Linked DNA regions of Saccharomyces cerevisiae S288C. The protein of the gene in region 1 binds, or shares a complex with, the protein of each later gene. Each region holds a gene or a part of one and is shown in the gene's direction. Other genes may lie near its edges.

The links. The genes of interacting proteins can lie anywhere in the genome.
Region 2: the proteins of UBC12 (region 1) and DCN1 are in contact, whole or in part, in a crystal structure (PDB 3TDI), measured with the Saccharomyces cerevisiae proteins. Residues at the interface, in NP_013409.1 of Saccharomyces cerevisiae: Met1 (codon at 3,700), Leu2 (codon at 3,837), Lys3 (codon at 3,840), Leu4 (codon at 3,843), Arg5 (codon at 3,846), Gln6 (codon at 3,849), Leu7 (codon at 3,852), Gln8 (codon at 3,855); in NP_013229.1 of Saccharomyces cerevisiae: Ile90 (codon at 2,080), Asp91 (codon at 2,083), Leu93 (codon at 2,089), Val94 (codon at 2,092), Ile97 (codon at 2,101), Leu104 (codon at 2,122), Glu105 (codon at 2,125), Thr109 (codon at 2,137), Leu110 (codon at 2,140), Ala113 (codon at 2,149), Leu121 (codon at 2,173), Glu122 (codon at 2,176), Leu173 (codon at 2,329), Ile174 (codon at 2,332), Leu175 (codon at 2,335), Asp176 (codon at 2,338), Glu186 (codon at 2,368), Gln189 (codon at 2,377), Tyr190 (codon at 2,380), Leu193 (codon at 2,389).

Annotation. Positions count from the first base shown.
Region 1 is NC_001144.5:740,452-747,987, forward strand, and holds UBC12 (NEDD8-conjugating protein UBC12), read left to right. Parts: upstream 1-3,699; coding exon 3,700-3,702; intron 3,703-3,836; coding exon 3,837-4,400; downstream 4,401-7,536. Other genes in the region: 1-phosphatidylinositol 4-kinase STT4, read right to left, coding at 1-3,412; chitin deacetylase CDA1, read left to right, coding at 5,169-6,074; DPA10 (Dpa10p), read right to left, coding at 6,397-6,660; chitin deacetylase CDA2, read left to right, coding at 7,486-7,536. UniProt on the Saccharomyces cerevisiae protein: Accepts the ubiquitin-like protein NEDD8/RUB1 from the UBA3-ULA1 E1 complex and catalyzes its covalent attachment to other proteins. The major substrate is CDC53/Cullin.
Region 2 is NC_001144.5:396,812-402,166, forward strand, and holds DCN1 (NEDD8 ligase DCN1), read left to right. Parts: upstream 1-1,718; coding exon 1,719-1,721; intron 1,722-1,815; coding exon 1,816-2,622; downstream 2,623-5,355. Other genes in the region: APC2 (anaphase promoting complex subunit 2), read right to left, coding at 1-1,508; snoRNA-binding rRNA-processing protein DIP2, read left to right, coding at 2,846-5,355. UniProt on the Saccharomyces cerevisiae protein: Required for neddylation of cullin components of SCF-type E3 ubiquitin ligase complexes. Neddylation of cullins play an essential role in the regulation of SCF-type complexes activity.

The DNA of each region.
Region 1 (7,536 bases):
CAACTAAAAGCAAATGTGCAACTTCGGGCTTCTCAGTTATGATTGTTAACCATACGTTTGTAGCAATCTTTAAAGATGCAGAGGTGAAGACTTCGAACGGGATGTGCACAATATCATATATCAATGACGCTGGTGCACCATTGCCAAGAATTAACAACGCGGTAGCCATATCAAGAAAATCAGTTACGTCTTTAGTTATAATCTTATTTCCTAAGGTCAAATTTTTTCTTATGTTTTGAGTGGAAATACCTATTTGCCTTTTGATATCCTCTGGTGATGATGTAATAGCGGTATCGAAAAGATATTTTGACCTCCAAGAATGTAAAGATATAAATCCAGAAATCGTGTTAGGTTTCTCTGGACCATAATAAGTAAGCCTTGATAATTCCTTATCTGCAGGTAAAATCAAACCAGCCATATCCATGGCAAATGAGACACCAAATTCAACAGAATTTAGCCTGCTGTACTCACCGAGATCTGATATGTATGATTGCAACAAAATCTTAGTATCCTGGTTGCTTCTATTCAATAGAATTCTTACCCATTCTTTAGCTGACTTGTGCAATCTTGATAGTGTCGTAGCGCGCCAGGACGATGAGCTTGGAACCAATATTGTTGTCTTAGAATGTTTTAATTTAAATTCATACCGTGGTTCAAATTTATGCGCCTCTGAGTCCAAGATACTATCAAATAGGGCTGTTAACATATCTAATAAGGTGTAGAGAGACAAATGATGACATAACGATGATGGAATAGATCTGATAAATATTTCACAGGCATGAAAAGCGGCATCCTGCAAAGTTGGTTCCCTATGAGAAAGGCAAAGTAGCAAGTTATTAAGTTGTTGAGCAATCATTTTGGAGTTGAATATGGCATCGTTACCCTTTTGAATCAACCTAGCATATTTTCTAATCATGGAAACCGACAAAACTGCAATACACTTCTCAATTGAACCGGAAAGAATGGAGGGGTCTGAGAAGTACAGTAGAGTCTTCGAACAATCACCTGCCTCGCATCTTATCGTTTCTAGAAGAACGGCAGCCGCTAAAAACATGATTTTAGACGATGAAGTTGTTCTGTACTGAACAATATTGGTATTGAAATATTCGGTTATCTGCTGTTTTTGTTGTTTGATATTTTCGTTAGATGAACCGCGGCGCAAAATTGTATTCATTTCCAATGAAAGCTCCTTGTTATTAGCAGGAAATTCAGAAGCCAGCGGTGGTGAATTATAGGCAATAGTTAATAAGAAAGAAAAATTTCGTTTGACAATAGGCCCGCCCAAGTGGTACCCATGGATGACAAAATTAAACCAGGCGTTCCTAAACTTGTTTGTAGTGACTTCATCCTTATTGATGTCCAATGGCGTATCGCCTGGAACAGGTAGTAGAGCGGCGAGGGGCTCTAAGTAGGTAGCGATTTGATCAGCAACACGGGAAATCTCCGTTTGAGGTCTGTGATGTTCCAATCGTTCTACTTCCCCACTGGCAATGATTGAGTCCAATAGATCATGAAGATACATGAAATATAAGTCACTTGAAAAATGCCTGGCCAACAATTCTTTTGATATCACACATTTCGCTTTAATAATATTTTTCAATAGTGCGCTATCATCAATTTTTGTTGCAATAACAGTTCTCGATTTGAAGAACTTTAGTAAAAGCGAAAATTCTGTCAGTGAAGTATTCGGAGCCAGTCTTGCCAAAGAATTCAAAATAACACCGTCTAATTCCTTTGACATAGAATTAACTTTTTGCGTAAGAATAGAGATAGTCAAAGCTGTTATGCTTTGGGTGTTATAGTATGAGGCGATTGTAGTCGTTGCAGCCACACAATTAGATATCAAAGAGGCATGGTATGTCATAGTAGCTCCACTATTGACATCATGGGAGGAAAGTTGGCCCACAGTTGTATTTCCGAGCAGAGCACCAGTGCCATCCAAACTGGCAGATGAATTTCGCAAGGGAAAGTAGTCTTTCTCAATATTTTTTCCAGATGTTATTGTTAATTGGCGCTCACGGAGCACCGGGACGGGCGATCCGTCCTCGGAAACAGCTAATAAGTTGTTCATGGAATAAATTGTACTCACAATTGCATCTTCATTTAGAGGGTATAACCCTGTGGTGAATATTTTTGCAACATCATTAACTGTTTCAGTCGTGATATGTGGAGACGCTACCAATAAAGGAAACATACGAATCAGAGTTAATGACAATTTTTCCGTGAAAAAATTCAGTAATGAGGCAGAAGCTACAATTGCTTTTATCAAAGATGGTGTAACGACATCAGATAAGAAAAATTTATCAATAGATTCAGAAACAACGTTTGTAAAACTTTCAAAAAGCTCGCTTTCTGTATCTTCTATAAACGGAATTAAACATAGCGTTTGTAGGTAGTGGGCTCGAGTATCAAAAGAAAATCTTGCACGGTTGTCTGTAGATAGGTCGAGAATATGTGACTCAGAACAAAATTGCAGGGAAATTTTACACATGTCTGTAAAAAACTGTTTATTGCTTCTTACGTTGAAAAAAAAGTCATCAATACACTTCGTATCATCGTTTTCATCGGCTACTTCTTGATCAAATTTGTAAAATTGGTATTGTTGATTTAGTAAGAACTCACTCAAGTTGGCGCCGACATGTGAAGTGTTTAACAGATGAGATATTAGCGAAACTTGCAAGCGAGATATTAATTCCAATAAGTAGGCACTGGATAGCTCATTTCCAGCATCGTAATACTGGACGATTGAATCATTGGTAAACGTTGCTGAGGAATTCAAAATCTTATCAACTTCGTTTAGAAATGATCCACGAAGCACAAGTTTCGCTAACTTTTTCCAGGTGAATTTAGTAAGCTCTGTAGAGTTGGGAAACTGGATAAATGCATTAATAAAGCCCACTAATGATAGTAGACCAGATTGTTTAATAGTAAAAATCTTTAATACACGCTCAAAATAAGTTGAAATGATGCCGCCTATATTTTCATAAAGAACGGGATACTGTTCACAAGCTTGAATCATAAACTTAGTCAGCTGGAAAGTTAGCAATTCAATCGGATTTCTCATCTGTTCCAACTTGAATTTCGAGGACAGAACATCTGAAATTCTTTGTCTTGGAGTTTCCAGAAAATAAGGCGCAATTATTTCTTTAAGCATTGTCTCTACCAGATCGAGCGTGGTAGGGATTGCAACACAAAGCGAAGTTAGTACTTCCCATTCACTCAATGTAAGTGGTATAGTATATATCTTTGACGTATTTGTGGAATAAAAAATAGGCAATGTATGAGTTATCAAATCTAATGTTGTACCATTACTGTTTTGATCATTTGGTGCACCCGTCGAAAGTTTAGTTAGTCTTCCAATAGCTTTCGCTCTTAAAGATGAAGAGGCTTTCAATCCTCTGGTAAATCTCATCTGCCTTAAACGAGTGGCGTTTTCGATTGCTGTAGTTATCTTTTTGTGATCTAATTTTTTTCTTGATTTACAATAGTTATTAATGTTGAATATGTTTTTTCCCACAACTCAAACATCTTCGCAGTATTCTTGAAAAAAAAAAATACTATTAACGTACCTTCATCCCTGCGCGTGCCGTTTGATGATATCAGCCAAAAGGTAAAATGAGATGAAAAAGGCCAATCATTCATAAATGTACTTAGAGACATTAAAGAATCAGTTAGAGAATATAAAACAAGATAATAAAAATGGTACGTAGATGCAACTATATCTTTCCGTTTCTCATTGGCGGTTTTTAGCGATCGAAAATACTAACATAATCTTTTTGGGGGGTGAGAATGTATATGTGTACTGGATATGTATATTCTTGGCTTTATTCAAATAGTTGAAATTACGCCAATTACAAAAGAAAAAGCAAAAAGAAAATGAAAACAGCAGTTCTATTCAGCCTAATTTATCGGCAGCAAGAATTCGTTTGAAAAGGGACCTTGATTCGCTGGACCTCCCACCAACAGTGACTTTGAATGTAATAACATCACCAGATAGTGCGGATAGATCACAATCGCCGAAATTGGAGGTAATTGTTAGGCCTGATGAAGGATATTATAATTATGGATCTATTAATTTCAATTTGGATTTTAACGAAGTTTATCCGATTGAACCACCAAAAGTTGTATGTTTGAAGAAGATCTTTCATCCAAATATCGATTTAAAGGGGAACGTTTGCCTAAATATTCTTCGAGAAGACTGGTCGCCAGCTCTAGATTTGCAGAGTATTATAACCGGGCTTCTTTTCTTGTTCTTGGAGCCTAATCCCAATGACCCGTTAAACAAGGATGCAGCAAAGTTACTGTGTGAGGGTGAGAAAGAATTTGCTGAAGCTGTGAGATTGACCATGTCTGGAGGTTCAATTGAACATGTCAAATATGATAACATAGTTTCTCCTTGAGTCAAGTTCAGAGTAATTTTCGGTTGATTTGATTATATATAAACAATAAAATTATAGATAATTGTGACATACTAGGCGAGTTGTCGCCTTGGTAACATCTTGCTACCGCCATCTTCTGTTAGTTTACGCCTTATGACCAACATTCCTTATATTCTCGTTCAAACTTTTGTCTCGATATTTTGCAGGTACCTGTAGAACTTAATGTGTTCTATTCAAAATAAGTATAAAATTTCTGGCCAGTAAAGGCAAACAAAACATAAAGATATTAATACGAAAAATTTCTTGAAGAAAACAAAAAATACTTCTTATAATAAAGAAACAGCGAAGCCATGGCTATTGACAAGATAATCAGGAAGGTGAGATACCCTGGATAGAAGACTAAGAGAGAGCAGGAAGTTGAAGAACGCAATCTCAGCTATCGCTAATTCTTACAAAAAATAAAGATATTACAACTATGGAAGAAAAAAATGAATGACTATACTAGTTAGTAATATTTAACAAGATAACGCTTTCTATTTTCTGTAAAAAAAATTCTGTCTCATGCACTTGGAAGCAGCTTCAACATTTCTCTTTTCCAGATGTCACATTTTCCGGACCGGCCGTCATTCAATCGCAATTAAAAGAGAAAAATACCAACAAGTGGGTTGATTTACTTTTGTGTTTTCAAAAAGACCAATAGTTCTAACAAAGTAGATGCTTAGAAGTAAGCAAAGTGGAATATAGAGAAACAAAATTAAGTGATAGATTTACTTTTACACAAGAAAAGAGATGAAAATTTTCAATACAATACAATCTGTGCTGTTCGCAGCATTTTTTCTAAAACAGGGAAATTGCCTTGCGTCAAATGGGAGTACCGCATTGATGGGGGAAGTAGATATGCAAACGCCCTTTCCAGAGTGGTTAACAGAATTTACTAATCTTACACAATGGCCTGGAATTGACCCACCTTATATTCCGCTAGATTACATAAATCTTACTGAAGTGCCAGAATTAGATAGGTACTATCCTGGCCAGTGTCCCAAAATTTCTAGAGAGCAGTGCTCATTTGACTGCTATAACTGCATCGATGTTGATGATGTAACTTCGTGTTTCAAACTTTCCCAAACATTTGACGACGGTCCGGCCCCGGCGACAGAGGCATTGCTCAAGAAATTGAGACAAAGAACCACTTTTTTTGTTCTGGGGATAAACACTGTTAATTATCCTGATATATATGAGCATATTTTAGAGAGGGGTCATTTGATTGGTACACACACGTGGTCACATGAATTCTTGCCAAGTTTATCAAACGAAGAAATTGTAGCCCAAATTGAATGGTCAATTTGGGCTATGAATGCCACAGGCAAACATTTCCCCAAGTATTTTAGGCCTCCATACGGTGCAATTGATAATAGGGTTAGAGCTATAGTAAAACAGTTTGGCCTAACGGTTGTCTTGTGGGATCTCGATACTTTTGATTGGAAATTAATCACTAATGATGATTTCAGAACAGAGGAAGAAATACTTATGGACATAAATACTTGGAAGGGAAAACGGAAAGGTTTGATCTTAGAGCACGATGGTGCACGAAGAACAGTTGAGGTTGCTATTAAAATCAACGAACTTATTGGTAGTGACCAATTGACAATTGCAGAATGTATTGGTGATACAGACTACATCGAACGCTACGACTAGAAGTAAGATTTCCGAGAAATAAAGTTTCTCTCTATATATCTTTGATCTCTTATTTAATTATTCAACTCGCAAAAATAAAAAGAATATTTTGTTATTTCAAAAGTAAAAAAGTATGTATTAGAATAGAGGACATATATAAAAATCATATATATCGATGCTTGAATGTATAAGGAAAAGCGTCAAATTATGAACGGTAGGTACTTAGGATGCTGATGTCACATAAAGTCAGAGGGTATAACTTTAAAAAGTAATTTTTTAGAATCTTTTAGCGTCAAAACGTTACACGTACATTTGAACAGTGTTAAGAGTAGATTAATTCAAATTATACTTTTACGTGCTCCGATACAGTCTCTACCTCTTCGTTGTCAGTGCAAATAACAATTGGCTTATCATGAACTGTTCTTGGAGATGGAGAATATCCTTTCAGACTCGTAATATTGATGACGGTAGTTATTCTGCGACATTGAGTAGTACTAGCATCCCTTATAACCGGAATAGTTGTTGATGTAGGTGAACTTTTTGGGACATAACACTTGGCAGTTGTTTGCAAATTTTTTGTGATCATTGATATGTTTCTTAGTGACATTTTTGATGCTATTGTTTTTATAGTGTAATTGCTATGAGTTTATTTTGTTGACAAGTATACTTGGCTGTCTTTTTTATATAATAACGAAAATGTGTAGTGGAAAAGCAGGTGTGTTTTGTCTTATATCTTACAAACTATATAGGCTTATATAGTTTTTTTTCAAAGATTCTTATTACTGCACAAAAAAAAATAAGATCCCAAATTGAACATTAACATTAGTCATATTCAGGGATGGCTCATCACGAACAGCAAACTGAATAATTTTCTTGTCTGCGTTCCTTTTTTTGTGCACCAATGGATGTAGTATGCGCACCTGATGCGCATAATAGATTGCAATTACACTGACTACAACTTACGTATATGCGTTTTTATTACTTTTCTATTGCAACGGCCTAAAGGAATTCGATAAAAGAAAGAGTAGGCAAGATAAGCCTGAATTTGGCTTTCGGCTGTTATTTTTACTTCCGCTAAATTTTCTTTGTTCTTCCATTGTTTTTTTGCCTTTGTGTTCTCCATTAATCCATCCAATTTTAATGTCGGATTAATGGAACTTTCTATTAACCCATAAATGCCACATAGTACGGCTGTAGCAGTGAAGGTTACAAAAGGACGGGTAACACATGAGAAACATGCGTCAGGGAACAAACTAGATATTTGATTTTGTGACGCAACGCAAAAATTACTGGCTATTCTTTTGTAGTATTATCAAAATCCATTTAAAATATTCTCTCTCCTTCAGTAATCCTCTATTATTTATCAAAAACCCACAGTGGGTAAACAAACTGCAAAAGAGTTGTTATTATTTCTACGGATCGGCAATTGAAAATGAGAATACAACTAAATACAATTGATTTGCAATGTATTATTGCACTTTCC
Region 2 (5,355 bases), 350 kb from region 1:
TCTCTTGATTCAAATAGATCCAAAAGCACCTCAAACAAATTTGTCTTAATATAACTTGATTTGATGTTACCGGGAATCATGTCATTAGGCTCTGGTACCCAAGCTATATAATAATTGAGTATATGTTCGTATAGCATGGCGTGTCTTATTGGTAGGTCCTTGTTCAATTCCCTCTTTCCTTTCACCTTGAGGTTCCATAGAAAGGGGCTTTTTTTATTCTTGTCCCTTTTGGTGATGTTCGTATCTTGATTGATATCAGAATCGTGCAAAGTGTCTACAAGTGAGAGCAGTGCCTTCATATCTACATTGAAATTAATTTTCTCCTTTAGTTCTTCTTCAGGTAAGTCCAACATTGCGTATAACAATACATTTACTAAGTGCTTCCGCTCCTGAAAGTAAGGTTTAACAAACGTGGTTATTGAATGTAGGCATCTCCCTGTTGGATCCAGGACCAAAAATGCTTTGATAGTTTTAACATATCTCAACAAAGCGTCCACCGTAGTTACGCTGGGGTTTAGAATGTATTTCTTGAAATCAGACAAAAAAGTTGTTACAATATTTGTGTAGTCTTTAAAATCTTTCATAATTTTCCTCAATTCCAATAAAGTAACCTTTGAATCAGGATAAGCCAAAACGCATATATCAAAGATTTCATTCGTTCTTATCCTAAGAAAATTGGACTCAAAACAGTTGAAAACTGTAGTGGTCAGTTCGTGATCATCCTCTGGACAACCGACTAATTTAGAGAACTGAGACCAATATTGATTAATAAATTTGTTGAATGTTTCCATAATCATAAACCTTTTATTCCATACTCTACTCATGTTATCTTCACAAAATTTATTGATTTTGCTGTAAAGAGCATTGACTATCAATTCCGTAGAGGATAAGGAACCATTAGCAGATTTGAGCCATTGGATTAAATTGTCTGCCAGGTCGAAATCATCATCCATTATTAATTTGTCTAATCTTGTTCTTAAATTATTTTTGAACTTTATATTTCTATTCAACAGATAATGTCTTAAAGAATTAAGTTCAAGTGCCCAGTCGTTTACATTTACGTCAAAAATAGGAACGTAACGTAAAGGAAACTCGTAATAATTTTCCCATCGTTGGATATCTTTTAGATAATTAATGTTGTTAAAATGTAAGAAAAAATGATAACGAACCTGGAAAATATAAAACTCTTTGAGCGTGGAAAAAAGTTGTAGTTGTAACTCTTTGTTTGTATTTCCCTCATTAACTATTGAATTGTTTGCCTGACTAGTGTTTATCATGCTATATGGCGATGTGGTTGCGTTATTAGGGAAGAGAACCTTAATGATATTCTTAATACGAAGGCTTGGAGGACGTAGTTGATGGTTACTCTTGGCATCATTAGGGCTCATCCATGTAAGTAAAGAGTTCAAATCATCGACTATGTTTGTGTGAAAGATGTATGAGGAAAGTGTTTGTAACTCATCTGTAATAACTTTCAAATCTCGAGTTGGGGTAATCTGAAATGACATGATGGAAAAACCTTAACTATAAGCCATAAATATTTACAGTCCCGCTAAGTCTGGCTTTCGTCTAGTTTTCGATATTTTGGCTCTTTTGTCTATTACTGTTTTTGTAACCAAAGGTTTGAAAATTTAGATGCAACTAATGAACTTACGCAGTAACATGCAAGTACCCAATAAAAAAAGAAATTTTTGAAGAGACGTTCTTGCATTCAGGACATGGTATGTTTTTAATTTCGTTTCTTTAGTTCTCAGGCTCTTCAAAGTACTAACACTTTATTGGCAAGGGGCGCTCAAATGTGATGCATCATTATAGAGTAATAATAAAATAAAAAGAAAGGATGCAAGCCCGGAACAAGAGGCAATTGAATCATTCACCTCATTAACCAAATGTGACCCCAAGGTATCCAGGAAGTACCTGCAGCGTAATCACTGGAACATCAATTACGCTCTCAATGATTATTATGACAAGGAAATAGGGACGTTTACTGACGAGGTTTCAACTGTGGCTCATCCACCCGTATACCCGAAGGAGCTAACACAGGTATTTGAACACTATATCAATAACAACTTGTTTGATATAGACTCACTGGTCAAGTTCATTGAGGAGCTAGGCTACAATCTTGAAGATTTAGCGACATTATGCTTAGCCCATTTACTGGGGTACAAGAAACTAGAAGAACCCTTAAAACGAGAGGACTTCCTGTCAACATGGTTTATGCAAGGCTGTTCCACCATTTCAGACATGCAAGAGTGCATCAAGACGTTAGATGTTAAATTACATGAAGACTTACAATATTTCACACAGATTTATAACTATGCTTTCAATTTGATTCTGGACCCAAATCGAAAGGATATAGATACAGACGAAGGCATCCAGTATTGGAAGCTATTTTTCCAACCAGAGTACCCAGTGCGTATGGAACCAGATTTGCTTGAGGCATGGTTCCGTTTCCTTCGCGATGAGGGGAAAACCACTATAAGTAAAGACACCTGGCGTATGCTGCTCCTCTTTTTCAAACGATACCCCACTATTCAGAAAATAATAAGCGATTACGACGAAACTGCAGCCTGGCCATTTATTATCGATGAGTTCTATGAGTGCTTACAGGATCAGCAATAAACATCCTTTCATATACTTAAGGGTATGCTGTTTAATATTGCATGGAATACGTTACCCTTCTAAGATAGATGGGAATAAGGCGGAAATAAAAAACGCGATGAGCAGTGGAAAATTTTTCAGAAATTTTCAGTTCCCTCATAATATAGATGTAGATATTGTATAAGGTCGTACGTATATCAGAGTAGCCACTAGAAGGACCAGAGAAACTGGAATAAGAGCTATTATGGTCAAATCATACCAACGTTTTGAGCAAGCAGCTGCTTTTGGTGTAATAGCCTCCAATGCCAATTGTGTTTGGATACCTGCGTCATCCGGAAATAGTAATGGTAGTGGACCAGGACAATTGATTACGAGTGCTCTCGAGGACGTTAATATATGGGATATTAAGACCGGGGATTTGGTCAGTAAATTATCCGATGGCTTACCTCCAGGCGCATCTGATGCTAGAGGCGCCAAGCCAGCCGAGTGTACATATTTGGAGGCTCATAAAGATACGGATTTATTAGCTGTCGGTTACGCAGATGGTGTCATTAAAGTTTGGGATTTGATGTCTAAGACTGTGCTTTTGAATTTTAACGGTCACAAAGCAGCTATAACATTATTACAATTTGATGGGACTGGCACAAGATTAATTTCTGGTTCCAAGGACTCCAATATCATTGTATGGGATCTTGTTGGAGAAGTTGGTCTTTATAAACTTAGATCACACAAGGATTCCATTACTGGCTTTTGGTGTCAAGGAGAAGATTGGCTGATCAGCACCTCCAAAGATGGAATGATCAAGCTATGGGACCTAAAAACACATCAATGTATAGAGACACATATTGCGCATACTGGAGAGTGTTGGGGCCTTGCAGTGAAGGATGATTTACTGATCACAACTGGTACTGATAGTCAAGTAAAAATTTGGAAACTGGATATAGAAAATGACAAAATGGGGGGGAAACTAACAGAGATGGGTATTTTCGAAAAGCAAAGTAAGCAACGTGGGTTAAAGATTGAGTTCATAACAAATTCGTCTGACAAAACCTCTTTTTTTTACATCCAAAATGCTGATAAAACCATCGAGACTTTCAGAATTAGAAAAGAAGAAGAAATAGCAAGAGGTTTAAAGAAAAGAGAGAAGAGGCTAAAAGAAAAGGGGTTGACAGAAGAAGAAATTGCAAAATCTATTAAAGAATCCTACTCCTCCTTTATATTGCATCCTTTTCAAACCATAAGATCATTGTATAAAATAAAATCTGCATCATGGACAACGGTCTCAAGTTCCAAACTTGAGTTGGTATTAACTACATCGAGTAATACCATAGAGTATTATTCCATTCCATATGAAAAAAGAGACCCAACAAGCCCTGCTCCTCTCAAGACACATACTATTGAATTGCAAGGGCAAAGAACGGATGTGCGTAGTATTGACATCAGTGATGATAACAAATTACTTGCCACAGCATCCAATGGTTCATTGAAAATATGGAATATCAAAACACATAAATGTATCAGAACTTTCGAATGTGGGTATGCATTAACTTGTAAGTTTTTGCCAGGTGGGCTACTAGTCATACTGGGTACAAGAAACGGGGAGTTACAGCTCTTTGATCTAGCATCATCAAGTCTTTTGGATACCATTGAAGATGCACATGATGCGGCAATTTGGTCGCTAGATCTGACCTCAGATGGTAAACGATTAGTGACCGGATCTGCCGATAAAACTGTCAAGTTTTGGGATTTCAAAGTTGAAAATAGCCTAGTGCCAGGTACCAAGAACAAATTCCTGCCTGTTTTAAAACTGCACCATGATACAACTTTGGAATTAACTGACGACATTTTATGTGTACGGGTTTCTCCTGACGATAGATATCTAGCCATCTCGTTGCTGGATAATACTGTTAAGGTATTCTTTTTGGACTCAATGAAGTTTTACCTAAGTTTATATGGGCACAAATTACCTGTACTATCTATCGATATTTCATTTGATTCTAAGATGATTATTACGTCTTCCGCAGACAAAAATATCAAGATTTGGGGTTTAGATTTTGGTGACTGTCACAAGTCTTTATTTGCCCATCAGGATTCGATTATGAACGTTAAATTCTTACCACAGTCTCACAACTTCTTTAGTTGTTCTAAAGACGCAGTGGTGAAATATTGGGATGGCGAGAAATTTGAATGCATTCAAAAACTATACGCTCATCAGAGCGAAGTTTGGGCTTTGGCGGTTGCTACTGATGGCGGCTTTGTTGTTTCTTCATCCCATGATCACAGTATAAGAATCTGGGAAGAAACCGAGGACCAGGTATTTTTAGAAGAGGAAAAGGAGAAAGAACTTGAAGAACAGTACGAGGATACATTGCTAACTTCTTTGGAAGAAGGAAACGGTGATGATGCATTTAAAGCTGATGCATCGGGTGAAGGCGTTGAAGATGAAGCATCCGGTGTTCATAAACAGACTTTAGAATCGTTAAAGGCTGGTGAAAGACTTATGGAGGCGCTAGATTTAGGAATTGCTGAGATTGAAGGTTTAGAGGCATATAACAGAGATATGAAGCTATGGCAAAGAAAGAAGTTGGGTGAAGCGCCAATAAAACCACAGGGTAACGCTGTTCTAATTGCTGTGAATAAAACTCCTGAGCAATATATTATGGATACCCTGTTAAGAATAAGAATGTCTCAGTTAGAAGATGCACTGATGGTTATGCCATTCTCATATGTCCTCAAATTTTTAAAATTTATTGA